3 linked regions of the Caenorhabditis elegans genome follow. The protein of the gene in region 3 interacts with the protein of the main gene of each other region in a pairwise test. Each region holds a gene or a part of one and is shown on either strand. Other genes may lie near its edges.

The links.
Region 1: the proteins of ces-1 (region 3) and uso-1 interact in a two-hybrid assay, tested with the Caenorhabditis elegans proteins (2 studies listed by BioGRID).
Region 2: the proteins of ces-1 (region 3) and unc-37 interact in a two-hybrid assay, tested with the Caenorhabditis elegans proteins (3 studies listed by BioGRID).

Annotation. Positions count from the first base shown.
Region 1 is NC_003282.8:13,449,723-13,457,746, forward strand, and holds the start of uso-1 (Uso1_p115_head domain-containing protein), read right to left. Parts: upstream 5,077-8,024; coding exon 4,975-5,076; intron 4,060-4,974; coding exon 3,964-4,059; intron 3,778-3,963; coding exon 3,622-3,777; intron 3,559-3,621; coding exon 3,314-3,558; intron 2,060-3,313; coding exon 1,809-2,059; intron 1,756-1,808; coding exon 1,671-1,755; intron 698-1,670; coding exon 445-697; intron 1-444. Other genes in the region: Y38H8A.7 (uncharacterized protein), read left to right, coding at 5,784-5,873, 5,921-6,004, 6,074-6,167, 6,212-6,311, 6,362-6,413.
Region 2 is NC_003279.8:6,740,535-6,749,095, forward strand, and holds unc-37 (Transcription factor unc-37), read right to left. Parts: upstream 4,796-8,561; 5' UTR 4,791-4,795; coding exon 4,710-4,790; intron 4,658-4,709; coding exon 4,514-4,657; intron 4,262-4,513; coding exon 3,751-4,261; intron 3,664-3,750; coding exon 3,468-3,663; intron 3,415-3,467; coding exon 2,667-3,414; intron 2,149-2,666; coding exon 1,990-2,148; 3' UTR 1,773-1,989; downstream 1-1,772. Other genes in the region: dhod-1 (Dihydroorotate dehydrogenase (quinone), mitochondrial), read left to right, coding at 318-477; cytb-5.2 (Cytochrome b5 heme-binding domain-containing protein), read left to right, coding at 754-846, 898-1,230; W02D3.12 (Succinate dehydrogenase assembly factor 4, mitochondrial), read left to right, coding at 1,455-1,485, 1,534-1,772; fnci-1 (FANCI helical domain-containing protein), read right to left, coding at 5,798-5,860, 6,743-6,878, 6,975-7,066, 7,547-7,846, 7,899-8,056, 8,105-8,383, 8,429-8,561. UniProt on the Caenorhabditis elegans protein: Transcriptional corepressor that functions with the neural specificity gene unc-4 to govern motor neuron identity. In concert with unc-4, represses the expression of VB-specific genes such as ceh-12, thereby preventing the adoption of VB motor neuron fate.
Region 3 is NC_003279.8:8,630,635-8,637,965, reverse strand, and holds ces-1 (C2H2-type domain-containing protein), read right to left. Parts: upstream 4,070-7,331; 5' UTR 4,018-4,069; coding exon 3,942-4,017; intron 3,627-3,941; coding exon 3,323-3,626; intron 3,272-3,322; coding exon 3,190-3,271; intron 3,090-3,189; coding exon 3,010-3,089; intron 2,247-3,009; coding exon 2,062-2,246; intron 2,008-2,061; coding exon 1,922-2,007; 3' UTR 1,797-1,921; downstream 1-1,796. Other genes in the region: cpn-1 (Calponin-homology (CH) domain-containing protein), read left to right, coding at 843-962, 1,091-1,306, 1,351-1,593; Sperm vesicle fusion protein fer-1, read left to right, coding at 6,782-6,850, 6,898-7,023.

The sequences.
Region 1 (8,024 bases), on a different chromosome or scaffold from region 3:
TATTTGTCCCAAATTCCGTAATTAGAAATTCTAAAATTTTCTCAAAGAAAAGTTATGACGGTTTAAAATTTTGAAAATCTCGAAGTTTGCCAATTTTCTTGCAGTTTATTTTTGTTGAAATTGACTCAAAAAACTAAGTTTTAGATCAAAAAAAAGTAATTTTACAATACAAAGTGTAAAAACATATGTTTTTTCTCGTTATTTCGTTGATTAAGGTACATTTCAAGTAATAGGTATTTAAATGTACCTAAATCAATGAAATAACGAGAAAAAACATACGTTTTAACACTTTGTATTGTAAAACCACTTTAAAAAAATTAAACTTAGTTTTAGTTTTTTGAGTTTTAATTGCAACTAATAAATCTAATAAAAGTCAATTTCCGGCCGCTGAGACACCGGTTTCGTTATGAAATTTGTTCTTTTCGGGCCATTTCGAACACAAACCTCCACAGATGCTCCAATTTCCGATAGAAGAACTCTGCACAGCTCCTCGAGAATTTTCGTTTGATTCAAGACTTTCTGAGCTGCGTGGGTATTTTCACTGGTGTTATCTGGACTAACAAGTGTACGAATGATTTGAAGCAAGAAAATAACGTTAGCTGTCCGTTGTTTCGCCCATTCAGTTACTTCGATATCTTCAGTTTCTTCGTTTCCATAGAGAAATGTGTGCAGGATTTTTCCGAGGCGAGCGACAAATCTGGAAAATTTGAATTTATAATTTACAAAAAAAAATCGAAAAAAATATTCAGAAAAGTAACAATAAAATTCGATTTTTTGTCTAATTTTGTTTATGTTGATGTGAAAAATATAAACATTTCTTCTAAAAAGGAGATAAATGACTAAAATTTTAATATATTTTTGGAAAAAGCGAAAAAAATCGAAAATCTTTCGTATTTCGATTTTGTAAAAAAAATTGAAAAACCGCCACTTTTGGTCTCGACACGATCAACTTTTGCTAAATGCAAAAAGGTGTGCGCCTTTAAAGAGTACTGTAATTTCAAATTATTCTTGTAATTTCAAATTATAATTATTCTCGAAAGTTTAAAATTACAGAAATCTTTAAAGGCGCACGCATTTTCGCAGACAACATAAATTTGTCGTGTCGAGACCGAGTATCGTCTTTTTGGCGCACGTGTATTCAGCTCGACCAACGCCTCGAAAATTTTAAAAAAAGGCGGGAAAAAATATTTAAATTTCCCAAGAGGAATTTCACCGCAGCGCGTGCAAAAATGTCTGCATTTGCGCGTCACGGTGTTTGCACAAATTACACCGAATGGTCGAGCTGAAAACACGTGTTGGCGCGAAAATCGCAAAAAAGGAGTAATTTTGAGTTTTTTCGTAAAAAATACTAAATTTCATAATGATATTTGTCTAAAACTCGAAAAAGTAATTAAATTGAGCTAAAATCTGGAAATTTGCTGCCGGAGATCGATTTTTTGTCAAAATTTTCACATTTTTCTGCATATTTTAGTATTTTATTTCGCATTTTCAAAGGATACATACCAAAATACAGAATAAATACCAAAAAAATGCGGAATAATTGATAAAAAATCGATTTCCGTGAGAGACAAGTCGCGAAAAATTCAGATTCAAGCAAAATTTTGCCATTTTGAGTGGTTTTCGATTTTTTAGATGCAATTTTTGTGTATTAAATTCCAATTTTCACTCACTGATCTTCTCTGAATATTTGCTGATTCATCGCATGTTTTCTCAATAAATTAAGCATTACAAACATGCAATCTTCGATGACAATGCCTGAAAACATAGAATAAAATAAATAAAATGTTTAAAATTGATTAGCCGCTCACTGTCAAGGGGCTCGGTTTCAATAATATTTAGAAGATCGAGAAATATATTATCATACGCGAGAAGCTGTTGAACCTGCGAGTTGGCTCTGCTCAATTCACAAATCATTAAAATTGCTTCGTTTCGAATAATTTCTCGATTATCATGAATAACGTCGACGAGCTTTGCGATTCCTTGAGGATGCTCCATTACGGCTTTTTGAACTTCTGTTCCACGATGACGAAGCAGGTTTGAAATCAGCTGAATTGCAGTTCTGAAATAGTAAAATACAGATTTTTGAAATAATTTATAGAAGGATTCGGGGGGTTTTTGCTCGTAAAGACTCAAAAATGAGCTCAAATGGACGAATTTCGTAATAGAACTGCTCAAGAAATTTTCAAAATTTTGTATTTTTTATGCCGGTTCAAAATTTCGAAATATTATATAATTACACTGATTTTAGCTAAATGCTCGAACTTCGGCCATTTTTCCGTGTTCCAGCTGTCCGAAATTGACTTTTTTGGAATTGTCATCCTTTTTTTGCATATTTTGGTAGTTTATATCATTTAATTTCGTTTATTAAAGTACATTTAAAGCCTATAAGTAGCCAAAAATCATAAAAAACGGTTACCTATCGTCTTTAAATGTACTTTAACAAACGAAATAATATGAGATAAAGTACCAAAATATTCAATAAAGGACGAGAATTCCAAAAAAGTCAACTTCGAACCGCTGCGACACGGAGAAAAGGCCAAAATTCGAGATTTTAGCTAAAATCAGTGTATTTTTTCGAAATTTTGAACCGCCATAAAAAGTTTTTCAAACATTTTCGAGCAGTTTCAATACGAAGTTCGATTATTTGAGCCCATTTTTGGGGGTATACGTTCAAAATCGTCCGAAATCTTCCTTAAAGGAGGATTCGGGGGAATTTTTGCTCGTAAAAATTAAAAATGCGCCAAAATACACTAATTTTGAAGATATAATTCTCAAAATTTCTGAAAAACGGGCTAATTTCAGTTAAAATCTCCAATTTTATCAATTTTTCCGCGTTAGGACTGCTGCAATGCAGTTTTTATCGAATTTTCATATTTTATTTGATCTCACGTTATTTCGTTATTAAAAGCAAACACCAAAGATAATAAAAAATCGGATACCAAACCAAAAAAAAAATGCAATAAAGACTGTATTTATACTGTTGTAACGCAAAAAAAGGAGCAAAATTGGGGATTTTGCCTAACATCAGGTGTTTTTAATTTCGAAGATTGTCTCGCAACAGCCGGAAATCGATTTAATTCAATTATAATCATATTTTGCCGTTTTTTGAGGAATTTTCAGTCGATAGGCCCCTTATTCAGTGCCTTTGGCCTGAAAATGTATCTCAATCGGAGAAAATACGGATAAATTAAAAAGAAAATTAATTTGCGGTTGTTGTGACACCGATAAGTTGACGAAATTGGAGATTTTAGCTGAAATTAGTGAATTTTTTAAAGCATCTTGATTTTTTTCTCGTTAATTTCGGAATAAAAACCTTCGAACTCCAATATCGAATTGTTCAACGGCGCATAAAACTGAAGAAATGAAGCCTTTTCGTTTAATCATCACTTCGGCTAATCGTTCTCCTAATTCATCGGATTCTGAAGAATCGTCGTCTGTTGACAAAACGATTGCCATCGTGTCGAGCACAATTGTCATGGCTTCGGTGTTCATGCGATCTGTTTCAAGCACGTCAATGAATGCATTCATTCCCATTGTTCCGACGGCTAATCGATATTTCTGAAATTACACGTTTAATTTTAATTGTTTAATTTTAATAGTTCAAATGATTTTTTCTCTCACCTTTGCGACACCTTTCAGCCCTCTCAACGCATCTCGACGGTCTTCTGGTGCCGTACAAGTTTCTGCTCGTTCCACAAGTGTTTCTACATATTCAGCTCCATTATCCTCGTCTTCATCTTGCTGTCCGCCGCCAAAAAAGTTCCGAAACAGCGACATCTGCAAAGCTACACGTGGCAGTGAGCGGAAAATGGGATTGTCGTGTTGTTGAGCGAATATAAATGATAATTAAATGCATTTTTTAATTTAATTTATTTATTTCTAAATATTTTTCTTTATTTTCTGAATTTTAACATAAAATAAATGAAAAAAAACGGGAAAAAAAGAAGAGAAAAGTGGAAAAACCTGTCGTGGAATTGGAGGATGCGTTCTCAATGGAGCGCGCTTGCTGACTCTTTTCGGACTTCGTTTTTTCGCTTGCAGACGTTGACGGAAATTGCTCTGAAAAAAAGATCTGCTCAAAAAGTGAATAAAACAAATATTTCAATTGTTTTAATAACAAAATTTGCATATTCAACTGAATAATAATTATACTGAATTCAAGAATTTCAAAAAAATTGGAGAAAGTTTGGGAAACAGATGGAAATTTTCAATAAAATCGTCGAGAAAACATTTTCTGTCAAAATCCGGATTAAATCCAGAAAGAAGAGTACCAGCTGCCCACGAAAATTTCGGGTTTTCCCCCAAAAGAACAGTCTTGAGTCCTGACACGATCGAAACTTTTCAGCTAAATACCGTACACGTGGCTCAAGCCAGTGGTCACGGTGTTTTATTTTATACTCATACCCAACATTTTGCGATTTTTGCGCCAAAAATACGGTTCCTGGTCTCGACACGACTTTTTTTTTGTTATATTCAAACCAGGGCGCGCCTTTAAAGAGTACTGTAATTTCGAACTTTCGTTGTTGCAGGGTTTTCATCGTTTTTTCATAGTTCTTCGTTAAAAAAGGCTGTTTTTATTTTGTAAAAAACTGAAGTAAAACAATTAAAACACATAAATTTTAAGAAAAACAATGAAAAGTCGAATAAAATGCCGCAGCGACAAAAGTTTAGAATTACAGTACTCTTTAAAGGAGAGCACCCGTTTCCATGCAACGAAAAATTGTCGTTTTGAGACCAAGAACTACCGTATTTTTCGCGCAAAACACATAAAAATTGCAAAATTTCCCGTCTGGCTAATATCTTTAATAAATATAAAGCATAGATTTTTTATAAATTGACAGGCTATTTTCAAATATTAAATTAAAAAAAAACAAAAATCAGCGCTAATATGCTCAATTCAAAATTTTTTAAATTGAAAAACATTGGTTAAAAGTAGAAATAACAATAAATCAATATATTTTGCAACAACTTTACCTGAGGCAAATTGAAAAACGCATTGGAAATTGTCGTGTCACTGGAAAACGATCTAACTGAAAGAGTTGATCCGGTAATTGAAGACGTTGAATAAGCGAACATTTCGATTGAATAAAACTATCGGCTCAGAGAGTGTTAGAGTGCGTAAAAGTGTAATGTAGGAAGAGGGCACATTGAGTGAGTTGATCGGGAGAGAAAAGTGAAGAGAAAACGGATAGAATAACAGAATACTGTTACTTCAAAATGTTTTGATTACGGGTAATGTATACATTTCGATATATATTAGCTTTCAGGCAAATCAACAAATTACTGGAATTGAAATTTCTGGCAAACTTTATTTTATTTTATTTCAATGTGTTTCAATGTTCAAAAAAAGAAAAATTTCCGAATATACTTCAAATATAATTCAAATAAATGCCCAAGTTAGAGTACTCAGATAAATCGAACCACGCAGGCACCGCTCCAAACCACGCAGGTGACTGCCCACCACGCAGTCAACGCGTCAAGACCACGCAGGCAACCAAAAGCACGCAGGTGACGCCTAGGAACCACGCAGGCGACTTGACGGTGGGCAGCTATTGGCAGTGGCTGCAAAACCACGCAGGTGACGCCTACATACCATGCAGGCAGCCAACGTTCAGCCACGCGCGGGATTCCTAGGCCAATGGCTGCGTACTCCTCTTGGACAACTTTTTCTTCTATTTTTTTTTCCTAATTTAATGGAATTTTCCGTTTTTTTTCTTGCAAAAAGCACTTTTATATTAATTTTCAATTTCTTCATGAAACTCAATAATTGTTTTCAGGTAAATATGTCAACCCCGGCCCGAAAAACCCCAAAAGGAGGCCGAAAGCGGCGTGGCAATGGACTGGAGGCGCCGCATTCGATTGGTCGCTTCAACGTAAGATAAACTTTATTTTTAAAAAATATATAGCAACAAAATTTCAGAAAAAACCTTCGGAATCGTTCGTTCGAACTATGGACTGGGATTTCAAAGAGCTTAGGAAAATCGCGGAAAATTCCAAGTCAAAGGTGAACAGAAGTTTGGCAGCTGCACAAATTCTCCAAATCCAGATGTAGTTAAAATAGTTCACTTTTCAGACAATTCCTCCAGAGCTCCTCCACACCTTCAGTGTCCACCCAAATTCGGTGAATCATCAGATTCTTCAAGGAAGACTTCTCAATTGTCCTATCAGTAAGCTATTCTTGTCCAATTTTTTTTTAAACAAAAATTTTCAGGCGTTCTTCACAATATTCTACATGTTGTAGCCGGATTCGAAGGACAGTTCCCGAGTGCGGATTTTGGCGATGTTTTCTCCCGACAGGTGGATCAAAAATGGTAAACACCCTTCTATCAATTTGTATTTCCAAAAATCAATAATATTGCAGCTTGAACGCACGGAAAAAGATGAGCCAGGAAAAGGACACACCATCACACTGATCACTGGGACGAAAACAACTGCCTAATGGACTTAATTTTGTTTCCCACCTTTTTTTGTTGTTATTTTTGAGATTTTCGTACTTTGCGTTTTAGATGGTTAAACGGTAGGAAGGGGAAGGAGCGGGCTGCGAACTGCCATTGCTGCAAGACCACGCAGGTGTCGCCTCCAAACCACGCAGGCAACGCGTTGAAACCACGCAGGGACTGGCATTCTTGAGCGTGGTTTGTACGCGTTGCCTGCGTGGTTTGGAGCGGTGCCTGCGTGGTTCGGTTTATCTGAGTAGTAAATTTTAAGGTCTTTCAGCATATACCAATAATATTCCAGTAGGTACAAGAAGCTTCACGTAGTTACAGAAATAGTACATTTTCAGCCCTACCTTTTAGTGCGTATTTTATTATTTAATGAAAACTACCATTTATAGGCAAAAATAGATGAATTTTCCAAACTTTGAAAATTCATAAATCTTTTGAAAGTAACTTTTTTTGAAATGTCTTTCAGAAACTTTGTAGTAAATTTTAAGCTCTTTCAGCATATACCAATAATATTCCAGTAGGTACAAGAAGCTTCACGTAGTTACAGAAATGTTTTATTTAATTATTTAATTATTAATTAAATGAATAAATAAATATTAATTAAATAAATAAATAAATATTAATTAAATAAATAAATATTAATTAAATAAATTAATAAAAATAAATTAATAAAATAAATATTAAATAAATAAATAAATATTAATCAAATAATAAATAAATAAATAAAGGTACAGTAAATAAGGAAAGTAATGACCCAATATGAGTGGGGGGATTATTAAATATTACCTAATATGGGTGAGTTATTAATTATTCCTTTGGCAGAGGAATGTCGGTGAGGGCTAAGAGTTCCCTGTATTGTAGGTTTTTGGGCCAAGAGTTCCCAGGGTAAAGAGTCCCCCTTCGGGTCAAGAGTCCCCGGTGTAGAAAGGGAAAGAGTTCCCAACAATGTAGAGTAGGTTTAGTGGAGGACTCCAAGGTGGATATGGTTGTGAGGCAGATCGACCAAAGAGTAGGGTGAGGAGGGGGGGGGGGGCAATTTTAAGGAAATATATATAAAAAAAACGTCTAAAAATTAGTCTTTGCGTCTGGTAAAAAGGAAAAGGAAAAAAAAGAAGGGAAACCAAAACAAGTAGTCCAAACTCCACTCGAATTGTCCGCCCAAGTTCTTGTTTGACACCGTATAGTCATGCCTGATCTTGCAGAGAGCCGCCAAAGTCTCCTCTGGCCTGAGGAAATCACCGAAAGTTGCCACTCAATTTAAATCTTCTTTCTTCTTCGCCGATGATTGGAGGGTAGCTAGTCCTCCGTCTAAGGGTTTTTAGTATGTATCGACCCTTTCGGTGTCTATTGCTAAATCTCTGGATAGTCTTGTCTCTTTGAAGGTGTCGTCGAAGAACCCGGCGTCGCATCACAAGCTCGCGAACTTGTGATACTAAACAGTCAGGCGCAAAAACTCGTAGTCTTTTTGCTAAACAGGGTACAGAGGCACGTACAGTGTACCCTGCGAAGTATAAAAAAGGAAAAAAAATAAATAAATAATTAGTCGTTACGTATCCGCGCCAGCCAGTCTTTATATGC
Region 2 (8,561 bases), 1.9 Mb from region 3:
GTTTTCCCCTATTTTTCTTTGGAAATCGACGATCAAAAAAATGTTATTCTCCAGTTTTATGTTCTAATTATGTAAAATATGCATATTTCAACATTTTAAAGGTTTAAACATGATACAGTGATATAGATTTTTCGAAAAGTAAAAACACAGTTTTCAACGCCTTTTGACTCAAAATAAAAATTGAATTATAATATTTGACCATTTGAGTACAATATATGGTAAGAATGGTTTTATTGATTTTCCCACAGGCCGTATAGTCCACCGTTATTCAATCAAAGTATTAATTTCAATTTATTTAACTAAATGTAAAATTTCAGAGCCGGTGCTAGTCTGGTCCAACTCTATTCCGCGTTCGTCTATGAAGGATTTCCGGTAATCGGAAAAATCAAACGAGAACTTGTCGAACTTTTACGGAAAGATGGATTTTCGCATGTTTCGGAAGCAATTGGAGCTGATCACAGAGAAAAAACGAAATAATTATATTCCCAAGATTTTTGTTATTTTTTCAGGTTGACTTCATTTTCATGGGTGTTTCAAAATTGTTTTATAATTGAATTATTTTCTTCCGATGTTCAATGTGCCTTTTCATGAGATTGTAGGGTAATTCTTAGTATTTTCTGCATAAATTATTTGATTTCCTTATGTTTTTTTTTTCAATTTATACTAAAGTTTCTGGTTTTCAACCGAAATATATCACTTTTGAATAATTTTCAACGACTTAGAGACCATTTTTTGTTTCAGGGTTCATCAATTATGTCGGAGCTACGTGTCATTTCTCTCGATGAGGTCTCAAAGCACAACTGGGAAGATGCTGATCAATCGTGTTGGATTGTCATCTCCGGAAAGGTAATTTTTTTTTCATTTTTTAAATTTAAATATCGAAATCATTCCTTACAGGTCTACGATGTGACAAAGTTCTTGAATGAGCATCCAGGAGGTGAAGAAGTCATCACTCAATTAGCCGGTAAAGATGCTACAGTTGGATTCCTCGATGTTGGGCACTCAAAAGATGCTATTGAAATGGCCAATGAATATCTCATTGGTCAATTGCCAGAATCAGACGTTCCAAAAGTCGAGACAGCGGCTGCGAAACCTTCGAAAAACGAAAAATCATCATCTCTCCTCAATGATTTCACCGAAATTATGACTTCACCAACATGGACCAACTTCCTGATTCCAACTACAATGGGACTTGTCATTTATGCCGTGTACAAGTGCATGTTCAATTAAATTACCTTAGCTCTTATCCTATTCTTTTGATCTTATGCGCCCACTTTCTTGAAATGCATCAAAGAACATTTGTTTCTATGGACTTTTATATATGTGATAAAGATTTGTTGTCAATATTTTCATATGTTACTGAAGGAAAAATGGGTGGAGCCTTGGAGATATCGATGTAACTTTAGTCGCAAGATTAGTCCTATTGAAACAATTAAAAAAAATATTCAGATCAAATGCTTCGTCAGATTCTTCGTCCAATTTTGAGTATGGATTTTACACAAAAAACAATTTTCTAATTTCTTGACGATTCAGATTCTTCCCGCCGATTCGCAGATATAAAACCAAAACAAAGTGCGAAGGAGAAGGTGATGGCTGAGAAGACACCGAAAGGAGCACTTGATAAAGCAGACGAACAACAATATGAAGATCCTCACCTCAAGAAACATCCGGGAGGTGTGAATAAGTCAACTGGAGAAGTTGGTGGACCAGCTGGACCAGAGCCAACTCGATATGGTGATTGGGAGAGGAAGGGAAGAGTTTCAGATTTTTGAAATGTTTTATTAATTGCTGTTAAAGTCAAGTCAGATCATCATTGTTTTGTAGTGCAAATAAATAAATGTTTTAAACATAGAGTGACATTAATCGTAATAGGGTACACAAATACGAAAATTTGACAAACGAAATTAGAAGAGATGAGAGAGATGAAACGATTATCGTACAGAATAGGGGTTTTGAGTATCATGATCATAAATTCACTGCGGAAAAAAATTAATATTCAACTGCATAGAGAGTTGCCTTCTTCTCCCCTGATCCAGTGACAATGAGTGAGTCGTCGAATGAGATGTCACATGAGAGAACGGAGCTGTTCTCTTTTAGTTGAAAGAGTGATGCTCCGTATGGAGTACGCCAGGCGTTGAGAGCATTGTCCTGAAAAATTGAGATTATGAGGTTTCAATTAGAAAAATTGAGCCAATTACCGTATTTCTTCTATTAATATGGCTGCAATACTATTTTTCGATGGTCTTCCCGCTTGCAAGACTAATAGGGAGTGCAAGAATATTAGGGAGTGCAATACTAATTTTCAGAATATTTTTCTGACTTTGAGCTTACTAGTTTTTTTCTGAAAAAGCTCGAATCTTATGTAAAAATACAAAAAATTTTGATTTTAATTGTAACCTATAAGTTCAAAAACTTCAATTTCGTATAAATTTTGTGAAAAATTGTTGCACAATAGGCAAAAAATATTGTTGAAATCCTGAAATTAGCGAGATGGGTTTGCAATAAAAAAAAAGTAAACGCAAGACTATTAGAGAGTGCAATAGGGAGTGCCATACTAATTTTTGGAAGGTCTCCGAGGGGCAATACTAATAGGGAGTGCAAGTCTAATAGGGAGGCCATACTAATAGAAGAAATACGGTAAATGACAAAGTATAATCAAAACATACCTTTCCAGTTGAAATGAAGAACTTTCCGGAATGCGCAAATTTGAGCGAAAGGACGCATGATTCGTGTTGTGTCAATTGATACTTTTCTTTTCCAGTTGTTGACAGAACCTCGACATAATTATTCTCCATACCAACAGCCACCCATTCATCATTTGGACAACATCCAAGAGAGAAAACTTGGCTCGCAAAATCATGCTTCGCAACTTCCTTTCGTTGTGCAAGATCCCAGCATCTAACAGAATTGTCAAGACCACCTGACCAGAGCTTTGTACCATCTTTTGAGAGATCGAGACATGATGCTCCATCTTGATGTCCAGGTAGGGTTCCAACTTTCACCTTATTATGGATATCATAAATGAGGATATTTCCATCAGCAAGACATGCGAACAATAATTTCTCATCTGGTGACATCGCCAACGCGTAGCATGCTTGTGAATCAGTTTCCAAGTCCAAAGTTTTTGTTTCAGTTGTAAGATCCCAAAGAGCAACAGTACTGGCTTCTCCTCCAATCAGAAGTGTATTTCCATCTTCAAAGAGTTTACAAGATCTAATATAGTTCTCTTTGAGACAATCCAAGGATGCAATTGGAGGCCGATTCACAACCGTTGCGCCAGAAATATCTGATTCTTTGACATCCCAGATCTTAACACATCCTTTTCCACCAGTATAAACACGACTGTTATCACGGGAAATTGTGGCCGCACAAACTACTTCTCCGTGATTTAATTCCATTTTCTTCTTGAGACCTCTGCAATTTTTTTTTTCAAATTTGAATCAAAGCCAATTATTATATTTTCTTACGTCGGAATTCCGGGACCTTTCTGTGCATCTGGAGGGAAGGATGTAGGTGTTGGAACTCCACCGTCCACAATTTTGAATGAATAGGCCGGTCTGCTACCGATTTGCCCGATGGCAGCTGCAAGACGGGCCTGTGCATGGGGATCATTCAAAAAGTTGAATCCTCCAGCAGCACTAGCTTGTCGGAGAAGATTTGGATCTGAAAATTGAAATATTTTGGCATTGCCTGAAGTTTTGGTATTTGCTCCCTCCACTTAGCACACTTCAAAAGATTGTAAACACGTACTGAATCCAGCTAAAAAGTTCATTTGCTCCAATCCTTGAAGCCCAGCGAGTGGCTGCTGTTGTTGTCTTGCTCTAGAATTTGATGCGATGCTCGGTGTAGATGCTCCCGATGAGGCAACACTATTTGTGCTATCTCTTCCATTTTTATTAGCTGCGCCTCCATTTGATGCAGTACTTGGATGATCATCATTTGTGACATCAATCTCAAGTTCTCCATCATCTGGATCTTCCAGCTTGGCCTTTTTCGCTTCACTTGCACCTCCAGAACTTCCACCGGCTCCATCTCCACCGTTGACATGTGGTGATGCGAATTGATTGAATAGTTGACTCATTGCAGGGCTCATTCCGAATGGCATATTTGGCATCATTCCAAGCATTCCAGCTGCACCGGGAGGAAAACCTGGTGGAAGTGCTGGTGCTCCATTTCCATTTTCACGTGGTGATGCGGTTTTGAAAGCTTCCAGTGCGGCGAGGCAGTTTGCTTGATTATCTTGAGATAGTTGAGGAGCCAACTGAAAAATATACATTTATAATATTACCTAAAATTGATTATTATGAATTAAAAATATTACATAATAATTTTTCTTCTATTTATAAATGAATATATGGAAAGAGGAGCATGTTTGAGTTGAACAAGGTACAATCCAATAGATATTATAACGTTTCCATAATATTTAGTTCAAATATTTCAACAAAAAAATTGTAATAGCTTTTTCTATATTTTTGTTCGATTTTTTAATAACATTATTGACGAGTTAATTTACCGATTGCATGATGAATTCCTGAAGGCGTTTGTTGATTTCTTCTGCTTTTCGAAGATCGCTACGAAGAGTATTTGATACTTCAGCGTACGTCATATACGATCTATTCATATTTTCTTTCTCTAACGCAACCTTTTCGATATCCGACTGCAAAATTGTTTTCAATATACTAAAATTTCTCTTACAAAATTAAGCTTACTCGTTGCTGGTTGACATGCTTCGACATTTCCGCATGCTCGTCTTTGATTCGATCGAGGGTTTCCAGATACGATGCCTTCATTTTTACTGAAAATTAAATACAATCAAGTGGATAGTGAATTATTAACATAAAAATTATGAGAGGAGTTTTAAAAATTCGATCAAAAAAATGCAAGGAAGAACAGACTAGTGATGGATTGGGAGAAGACAACAAAACTCAAGAAATAGCACGTGGTTTGAATAGACGTTGACAACGAGACGAAGAAACAAAGAAAGAGGACATGGGTTTCCAGTGGTGTAGACGGAGAGAATCATACATTAATTGCAAAACGACTGGTCATATAGCCCCACTAACGTTGAAGAATGAAGGAGGTATTGGTGTCGAGGAGGACGAACGCGCGGCGATGAATGCGACGCTGAATGGGTGACCGAATGGGGGGAGGAGTTGTCGATAGAGCACATTTGTTTTGAGCTCTTTTGAGCCCGAGTGTAGAAGATGAATGTATCCAATAAGTTTGATATTCAAGTAACACGAGGATCCGAGGATTTCTAACTAATATTTCGAATCAAACACGATGAAGCTGCAACTTACTATAGAGAGAAGCATTTATAAATATTTTACATGTACATAATCACAATTCCAGTATAAAAAACTCACAAAATTATCTAAAAAAACGGAAAAGGTTGAAATATTGAATAAAGAGACATAAACCTGTCTTGAAGAAAATATTTTTAAAAAATCATGTTTAACAAATAATAAGTTTATTGACATGGTATGTTCTTAAATAATTTGAGATTGAAAATCGGTAAGAAAATGAGATGAGAATCAAATGATAATAGTGAAAATTGAGATTCAAATGGAAAGAATAAAAACTCTTGAATGATTCTATTAGATTAAACAACAAGACGGTATACTGTAGCAGTCATGAAAATTTAAAAAAAAACCAAAACATGAATGAAGCTCCATTTTGTCATTTGTAACTAATTAGAAGCATTCCGGAGTGTTGAAGAATATATTACACATATAAAAACTCGAGAGTTTAAACTCATTAGGAAATCAAATATAATTGTCGTTTCATTGCTAACTGATCAGAAGACTGGACTCGTGCCTCTGGAGACACTTTCTTCTTCGTCATCAACCTCCTGCTTCACCTAAAAATACATTTTTAGATTAAGAGTGCAAGTCGTCTCGTGAAAAATATATTCTTGAACACGACACTTGATTTAAGGGCAGCGTAAATTTATATAAGGATTAAGGTAAATGAAGCTATCAACAACTAACAAGGTTATGCCCTTTGATCAATCATTTCATTTCAGTAATTGACACATTCATTTCCCACAATGTTAGATTTTATCGAAAAAGGAGGGATGTGATGGGTGGTTATAAACATTCAAAGATTCGAGAAGGCGATAATTGGTTGGATGTGTGTAACAGATGGTGGTGAGACGATGGTGTACACATTTGTTTGCACTTTATGTCATCATTATGACAACGAATACAATGAAAGTCAGATTTATGTTCCAGAAATAGAAAATTCCCATATAAGGGTCACCTTGGGTCAAATTGATGTCGGTTGATGGAAAAGGGATGTTTAATGGGTGAATGAGAATAATAAAATGTATGTGGTCGAGGCATTTGGAACTACATACATTTTATGTCTGGGATGCCGCTGTTTTAGATCATTTCACAAATTGAAATGAACATTTGACACAAATGTGGTCCTATTAATCAGCGCATTGAAACAGTTTCGCACCGAATATCCACAATTTATATTGAAAAATAATGATTTCTTTTTTATTCAAAACATCATAGGAATTGTTGAAACAGTAAACTATTTTTGGATTTTAACATTTGTAAGATTTTTGAAAGATATGGAGACTTACTTTAATTTTTTCGAAATTTTAATTGCCGAATTGTTTTTTGAAACTTTATTTTTTAGAGTTAAAGTTTTTGTCCAAATAAAATATTTTTCGGCCTTAGAATTAATCAGCTCAAGTAGTGGTTACACAACTCATAAAATCTCGTACACATACCACTCCAACAGTGTTCTCTTGATCTCTTGGCTCTTCGGGTTCTTCGGAGCTTCTTCTTGCAGATGTTGTACTCTCTTCAGTTTCTTCTATTTCTTCATCTTCCATACTTGGGTCCCTACGGCCTCGTTTGGTGGCTCTGAAAGCATCTCGTTACTTGAAAATTATTTAAAGAAACAAAAGAGGATTCAATAATAAACTGGAGAAACAATACTTTTTGAAATTTAAAACGTACGGTTCACAAACTTCTTCATTAGCTTGCCCGCTCAATTTGTTGCGAAGAACTTCCATATCGATTCGGAAGTCACGATATCCAATTGAATTGTTCTTTAAAAATATTTTTGAAAATGTCTAAAAAAAAGATTTTCAAATATATAATTTTGTAGCTTGAAGGTCACAGCCAAGGCTGCATTTTTCGCTTTATTCTGTGTTTCTGGCGAAAAATCTATTTTTTGTGCTTTTACCGGATAAAATTGATATAAAAAAACGAAAAAAAGCGACATTTTTAATTATCTTTTCACTACCCGAAAATGTATGCATTTTGAAATTTTACGCTTTTTGTCAAAAAACGACACTCGAAAATGTCTATAGGTTCAAAATTTTCGTGAAAACGCCTCAGACTAGTTTCGAAAGTAATAACTGTTGTTTTTGTCTTTTTTTTGGGTTTTGGCGAAATTTTATTCCGTTTATGTTTTAGAAAAAAAATCAATTTTTCGTCCACAGCCCTAATGACAGCTACAAAAGGAATAAATAAGTTTCTTACGAAATAAATTACAATTTAAACTCCCAATTGATATATCTACGTACCTTGATCTGAAGATCAAATCGATCATCTTTAATGAGCTTACAAAGAACAAGAATTCCATGTTGAACAGCTTCTCTTTCGTGTGAAAACTTTGAAAATAGTTTTTCGTCTCGTTTCGATTTTGCATATCTTGTTTTCTGTGAAATCTTTTTCTTCATTTCATCTTTTCCTTTCGAGAATCCAATATGATCGTCCACCATCGCAAGAATCGGCCTTAATTTTGTCTTTACCAACGTGGCAAGAATATTTGTACTCTGCCATTCGGACATTTCTTTTCCCCATCCTTTTGTAAGATTTTGAAGCTGAAATATTTGAGATTAAATCAAATTTTAAAAAGTTTCTGTTGAATTATACCAATACAACTCCCATCTGAATTGTGGTGAAGTAACTTGTCATAATCTCCGTGACTCTTTCCTGCATCATTTTGTATTGTACAAAGATTTGAAGAATTCTGGATACAAGTTCAGTGACTTCCAAGCATTTTGTAAGAAGAGTGCACAGCATATTATCAACTAAAAATCGGTTACAAAATATTAGACTATTTTAAAAATGTAACTCACAAACTGGAGGTTTCACAAAAAAGTCTTTTTGAAAAGTGAATGCATCTCTAATCAATGCCAGAGTTTTTTCGACAAACATAAATTGAAATTCTATGGACACATTGATGGTCGTCTTCGAGATGAAATGATATTTCATTTCTTCATTTTCTTCACTTAAAAATTCGAGAATATTTTCCATAATTTCGTGCATTTCTATTGCAGTTGTTTTATCAGAGTCCGCACATCGAAGGCTACAAGTAATAATAAATTTACAGTAATCTCGAAGCATTTGATTGTTGTCTGAAAACGTTCAAAACTTATGACTGTCGGCTACGGTATTCTTACAAAATGTTTCATCCTCTAAAACCTTGACGACTCGAGTAAACAAGTTCGACCAGACTTTGACATTTTTCGTGAGGCTAAGAGCGGCTGAAGCAGCTTTCAAAATGGCTCTTCCTTGCATTTCATATTGTGCTTT
Region 3 (7,331 bases):
CTCGTTGTCATCATTTCGTAAATCGACACAAATCGTCTCTTCCGCGCGCCCGCCCCATTGGGTCCCGGATGTCTGTCACTCTCTAACTATCTACACTCTCTGTACCGGTAATATTTCTTTCAAGAAGTAGTTTTCGTTTTCTTTCATTAGTTTTATGTTTTTTATAAACCAGGATATTAGATCGTAGTTTTCTTATTTGAGCTGCAAAATCTCTTTTTGAAAAATTTTTCCATGCTTATGTAGCTTTCATTTTTTTATCGCTCTTTTTAGATTGCGACATAGAACCAAAGTAACTTTATTTTGAGTGCCTCGAGCTCGAGAAAGTTCTAAAAATCTATTTTTACAATGAAATATTAATAATTTGCTGAATTTTATTTAAAACATCTTCTTTTAATGTTGGAGAAAAAGAACAGTATTTTCAAAATCAAACACAAAAATCTAGCGATCACCACAAACTTTTGTTTCGCTATGGGACCCGGTACTGTTGCCTCTTGAATGTTCCTTTAACTACAAAAGACCGCCTGAATTTTAGGAGCGCTCCTGAGCACATTTCTCATATCTTCATTCAAACCGGCAGTTTTCTCCCGAGAGCACTCTTAAATTGTTATTTTTGGGCTATTTTCGATTAAACTCTTCCAATTCTTTTTTATCAAACACCGTTCAATCAAATGTTCCTTATCAAAAACGCAAGACGTAGGCGGAGAACCAAAACTTTGCGATGAGTCAGAAGAATTTCACCATTTTTGGTTAGCGGAGAGTGGAAGAACCTCTTTTGTTTATAAATATTTTTTCTCGTCGTTAACTATACGCTTTTTTTCTTTCAAACTTATTCGTTCTAGAAAATGTCCGCTTTCGCTTCTTCGGATCGCGCTGAAAAGTCTGGAATTGCATTGGAGGCCCAGCAGAAAATCTACGAGAAATACGATAAGAATCTTGCCGGAGAAATTCTTCAATGGGTTCAGGTAATTTTGTGAAACTTTTCAAACGTTTATTGATTCTTGGCAAAGTCATATGTTTACATTGCAAACGAAGAAAATCATACAAATAAGTTATGCTCCTTCTTCGATTCACGATTTGAAACATTTTTCAGAACGTCACTGGCCAATCTTTCGACACCCAAGGAGACGCTGACAACTTGGTCAAGGTTTTTCAAGATGGAAGTCTTCTCTGCACTCTTGCCAATTCTTTGAAACCAGGAAGCGTCAAGAAGGTCAACACATCTGCCATGGCATTCAAGAAAATGGAGAACATCTCTTTCTTCCTGAAGTTTGCTGAGGAGTATGTGCAAAAGTCGGAACTCTTCCAGGTTTGTCCTTTCACTAAACACATTATGACATCAATTGTTTTCAGACTGTTGATCTCTACGAAGGACAGGACCCAAATGCTGTCCTCATCTGTCTCGCTTCTTTGGCACGAAAGTCTGAGAAGAACTTCGGTCGATCTGGTCTCGGACCGAAGGAAGCTCAAGGAGATCGTCGTGAATGGACCGATGAGCAATTGAAAGCTGGACATAACGTGATTGGTCTTCAAATGGGCAGCAACAAAGGGGCAACTGCTTCAGGACTTAACATGGGAAACACCCGCCACATGTAATTTCCAACGTATTCCCTACATTCTCAACCGGTTCTGGTAATCATAACGTGAAATTTTCCTATTCATTTTTTTATATGTCCAAATTATCAAGTGTACTGTAATCGATCTGGAAGCCACGCACTTCTAGAAAATTCAATTCGCTTCTCCAAATTTCATCGGTTCCAACATACAACTCATAATGATTTCCATGTTTTTGTGTAGAATTTTTGTCCAAATTATTTATTGTATTGTAATAAAGCTTGTAAGTAGGCAAATAAGCATTTTACAATATGAGACTAGACGATTTGCAAATGACTAGAAGAGCTTGAGGTCTGGTTGAACATGGATGTCATTTGCACGTTTCCAAATGACGATTTAAATAAGCTCGCAGGGCAAATCGACGACCACATTTATCACATTCGAATCGTTTGTCACCTGGAACAACAAATATTGAAGAACTGTTAGGTGTGAAAATATATGCGTAAATACCTGTATGAGTTAGCATGTGCGCTCGTAAGTTGCTCCGATCAGCAAATGATTTTCCACAATGAGCACAAGAGAAAGGCCGAAGACCTGTGTGAGAACGAAGATGTCCCTGGAGCAGCCAAAGTCTCGAAAATCGTTTCCCGCAAACATTACATTCATGAGAAGCGTTGTGTGTTAAAATGTGCATGCTGAAATTCAGTTTAACTTGTAAAACTAGGAGAAAAAGTTAACGTCCAATCCTAAGTCTCTACTAGATTGTGAACACTTAGCCCCAGCTTTCTGGTTGCTAGTTTCACTACTAATTCCATCGAATTCTTATTATTACCATGTATTATATAATTTCTATTATCCGCCTAACTACAATAGTGTACAATGTGTGTTGACGCAAAGAAATACAGGTACAGGTGGTGATTGCGCAATCGGAAGATTGTCTTCTGATGAGAATAAGGCAGGTGCGAATTGTTGGTGATTAAATAATACGAAGTGAAAGCTTGAGGAGATTAACCTTACAAACGTGGTTTCAATTACATTCTGGATATTATTTGGAAGTAATGATTCTCTATTCTTTGAACTGAGTTAGCTCGATATTTCAAATAAACTCTGGTGTGAAAACGTATTACCTATACGCGAAATATTGCAATTTTGCGCCCAAAGTACTGTACCTGGTCTTTACACGACAATTTTTTGAGAGTACTGTATTTTTCAAACTCTCTCGTTGATGCTCTTTTAAAGGGACACCTTTTTGCATTTAACCAAATTTTTTCGTGTCGAGACCGGGTACCGTATTTTTCAAAAATGACAATATTTTGCGCCTGCGTAATAACCAGATTTAGAATTTTTTCTAAGAAATTCAAAAACTTCACTTCTGAAAGTTATTGACTCGAATTCCTCAGTTTTACACGTTTCTCATTATAAAATACAATAATACTTTTTGAAAAGTAAAGCTCTTACCTTAGTGCAGGCATACTGACGTAGACTCGATCACAATGAGGGCATTGTTTGGCATGTGGACTATCCAAAGCTCTGTGCGTCTGAAATTGTTACTTTCAAAACAAAAGAATTCTCAATCCAGGAACACGAAGGAAGCAATATGTTATGTCATAGCTGTCAGAAAAACACTGTTTTACCTACCTGCTTGTGTCGACTGAGATTGGAAGTTGTTGCGTAGCTTTTCCCACATTTGTCACATACACATCTGTTATGAGAGGATGGTCTGAAAAAAAGTTATACGGGAGTCTTCTTCCGTTTCAATTACTTCACTAACCCTTTTTTATTCAAGCTTCTTCTATCCAAATTTTGAAGTGAATCCAATGTATATCCAGTGGTAGAACATGTTGGAGACGGAGATGAAGATACATCTTCATCGTTTTCCAATTCTAGTTTTGGAACTTTTTGAGAGTTTAGAATATTGTCTATTGAGAATACAGAGGTATTTTGTACAGATGATGGAGATTTCTTCAGATTTTCAGAGGACGTTGACGAACTAGAAGAGGACGAAGTAGATGCAGCTGAAGACTTTTGCATTTGTAGGTGTAGACTCATTAGATGCCATAGTTGGGCTTGAAAATCTGAAAGAAAATTTGGACTAAAAGGTTAAATAAGTATCACCACCGATTGCTCAACATTTGCTCAACTTTGACTGTTTTTATCTCGGTTGTCTCTGGTTTTTTTTAAAACATTGTGGAACAGTAAATATAGGTGTCAGATACATTATTCTTTATATTTTTGTTATTGAACAATTTTTGATAGATCCAAAATAAGAGCTGCCACTTTGGAGCAATGGGGGTGCAAGACTAATAGGAAAAATACAATATTTTGACACAATCTCCAAAACCAAAAAATATTAACGAAATATCAAGAACCTATTAAACTCAATAACTCACCACAATTGCCAATTATGGGGAAATCTACTGGAGGAGCAACAGTTGGTGTTAAACTAATATTCGGGGTAGTTATCATATTCTATCAGAAATGAATCAAGCTGTGAACTACACACAAAATCTGTTGAGCTTAACAAGACTGGGCGTGGTCTTAATGAGACGATCTGATTGGTCGGAGCTCACGAAGAGGCGGAACCACAAGAATTGCTCCAACAAGCTGGTAGACATGCGCAGTAGGTGGTCCCAAGAGGGACACAGGTTATTTTAGAAATATAATGGCTGAGGCGGTTATGGTTGAGTTTACAACACGTTTTGATATTTAGTCAATGAAAAATTGTAAAATTAGAGGATTTAAAAACATGGATTTTTGTTTAGAAACATAACAATTATTACTTTTTATACATAACTTTTTATTAAACAATTATTTCAAGTAGGAAATTTTTTGAAATTATGAAAAACTGTAGATGTAGATGCTTCTCTCGAAATTGAGTACTGTAGCTCAACTGTGGAAAACCATCAACACAGAAACCTGTGGCTATATCTCAAAAATTGAGATTCAAAAAGTTTCAAATTTTGTTCATCTGTCAATAAGCCATCTACAGTACTCTCACCGTTTAAGCTCGCTCAATCATGCAGGCAGATGGGACAGGTGACACAGTTCATGACCTGTTACATCATACCTAATTTCAACGCCGTCTGTCTATTTTCTAGTGACTAAATAGTAGGTTTATTTGTGCTCAATGCTCCAAATATATCAATTTGAACATTTGTGAATATAAGCGGATAATCTCTGGATTTTTCAATTAAAAAGTGATTGGAAATACTTTGGACCTCGGATACATGAAACAAAACACAAACTACACAAATAATGAAATGATTTTTTGATCAGTTGGAACTGAATAAATTGAAAAATAAGACCTTAGAAATAAAAATTAGAATATTTGACAGCATCTTGCATGAAGTTTAAAGTGACCAAAGTTTACATTAAAAAATGTTTAATTGAGATTTTTCCAACCTGTTTTTTTAGATCTAAAATACAGTTCTAGAACAAAAAATATCCCGACCAAATTTCCTTAATTTTTATCCTCTTCAGAGTTACACTATTTTTAATAATTATTATTAAAAAGGCTGAGAGGGACATTCATATATGATTATAATGCTTTTACCGTTTTCCACAACACTGCAAATTATTTGAAGGTTTGCACTGCAATTTTTAATGGAATTCATAATCTGAATCGTCTCAAAGTTACATCATATTATTCACAAACATATGTCCACATTATCTCACTAAAGACTGTAAAATGTAGTAGTCATATATGTACCAAGTGTCCATATCCCTCAAAACAGGTGTTTTCAATCTCAGTACCCATTACAGTCTATCAAGTGCAATTTATAGGAAGACACGTGTCACTTCAGACACCTCTCGACCTTTTTGTTGTACAACATGCCAACAATTGTTCAATTGAGATGCTTTTTTTGGTTTTTGAAATTTGGAACGTTGAACTGAAGAGCTAAGACTCTGCAAATAAAGAATCCAAATTTTTATCTAATTTTCTAAATGTTCAAAAAAATCATGCTTGTTGTTAAGAGTTTGCTGATTGATGTTTAAAAATAAATATATTTAGGACTCCAACAGGATGGCCGAGAAGTTTGTCACAAAGGCCCTTCACTTTGAAAAATATTACTAACATACCCTTAGAAAATTTTGAGATCATCTGTAAAAACCAACGATGGATTCATTTTACGAACATAAAAAGTAGTGACAAAGAAGAGATATATTTTTTTTATTTAAAAATACCTCACTGCTGCTTAAATCTTTGTTTTCCAAATGCCACACATTTGGCAAAAATTTCAATAACTACAGTTTCGCCAAACTTCAAATAATTCAACAATCATAAAGTATTTAATCATTCATATTACATAACATTGGTTTCAATCCAAAAGCTTTCCTCAATAATATTCGCTAATCGGCTCGTCAATCAACAATGCTTCATGCCTTTTAGAGGTACCCGTGGGGGGTCAACTCCTTTCTGCAAAAGGCATATGGCCGTCTGTCAAAATGGGGGTGTGCTCATTCGATTTCGTACCAGATGATGATATCTCAGCAGGAGACACATTTTGTTTCCCTTTGAAGATACTCATGTCTTTTGTCAATTGCATAATCTTTTCACGTTTGTTTGACAGGCGGGAGGATTCGGTGATGTGAGCCGACGGAAATGACATGGAGTCATCCGGAATTATGAATGTAGGGAATTAGGAAGTGAGCACCCAGGAAGCACACCCGAAAGTTTCAATGAATATTTTGAGCAACAACATTTCCAAAGTATGTCTAAAGAAAACGGAAAAAAAAAAAAATCAAAAACCACGTTTTTTCTTATAAAAAATCTTTTTTAAAACTTTTGGAAAACTGATATTCGGCAAACGAAAATCGCAGCCGACTCCTTATAGACAGTGACAACTTTGACAACATCTCAAAAAAACCGATCGAGGCGTGACGGGGCGCCTCTTTCCCCGCCCAACTCGCGCTTGCATAAAAATACAGTACTCCTACCGTACTAGTCCACTACCATGATAATTTCATCTTTTTCTAGTGAGAATTCCAATTTCGTACTACAATTTGGCTGACAATTAAAAATCAGAAAAATAATGAAACAAAAATAAATACGTGAGAAAAAAAACAAAAAAGTTTTACGTGAAAAAAGTTGAATCACGTATCTTTTCTCACGTGACCTGTGCTTCTCTTGTCTTCACAGCTTTGCCACATTTATTGCCACGTCATCCAACACCCCTTGCAAAAATTTCACGGGAACCAAGTTATTTCTTTCAATTTCCACCAAATCGACATGACGGTCAAGGAAAAGCTACTGAAAGTGAAGCAAAAGTTTAAGCGAGGGGATTCATCCAGTGATGTGGTGTGTCTTATTTTTATTAAATTCCTTTAAATTTTGCAATATTTCAGGATTCCGGCCCGGAGAGAGATCGGGATGAAGACGATTCGGATAACGAATCGAGGAATACAAGCAAGACGAGCAAATCCAGCAAAAAGAGCAAATCGGGAAAGAGCACGGGAACATCGGAGATGACTGTTAGTTTCGGAATATTAGTTTAGAATCAGAACAAAGATGGACCTTTCCTTGTTTGTTTAGTACGAAATAGTTCCACAGTGATTTTATCGATTGTTGACATAGTTTGGTAGTATCGATTTATTATAATATCTAATATTAGATCTACGTGGCAATAATATTTCGCAATAGTTTGCTAGTTATTTATTGAAACTGTTATCTTTTAAACCAAAAATCGATTTTACTGGTATCGGTTTTGTAGGTAGTGGATGATAATGAAGTTCTAGTTTCATTCAAATCAATCATTTATTTCTTAGGATTATCGATTTTC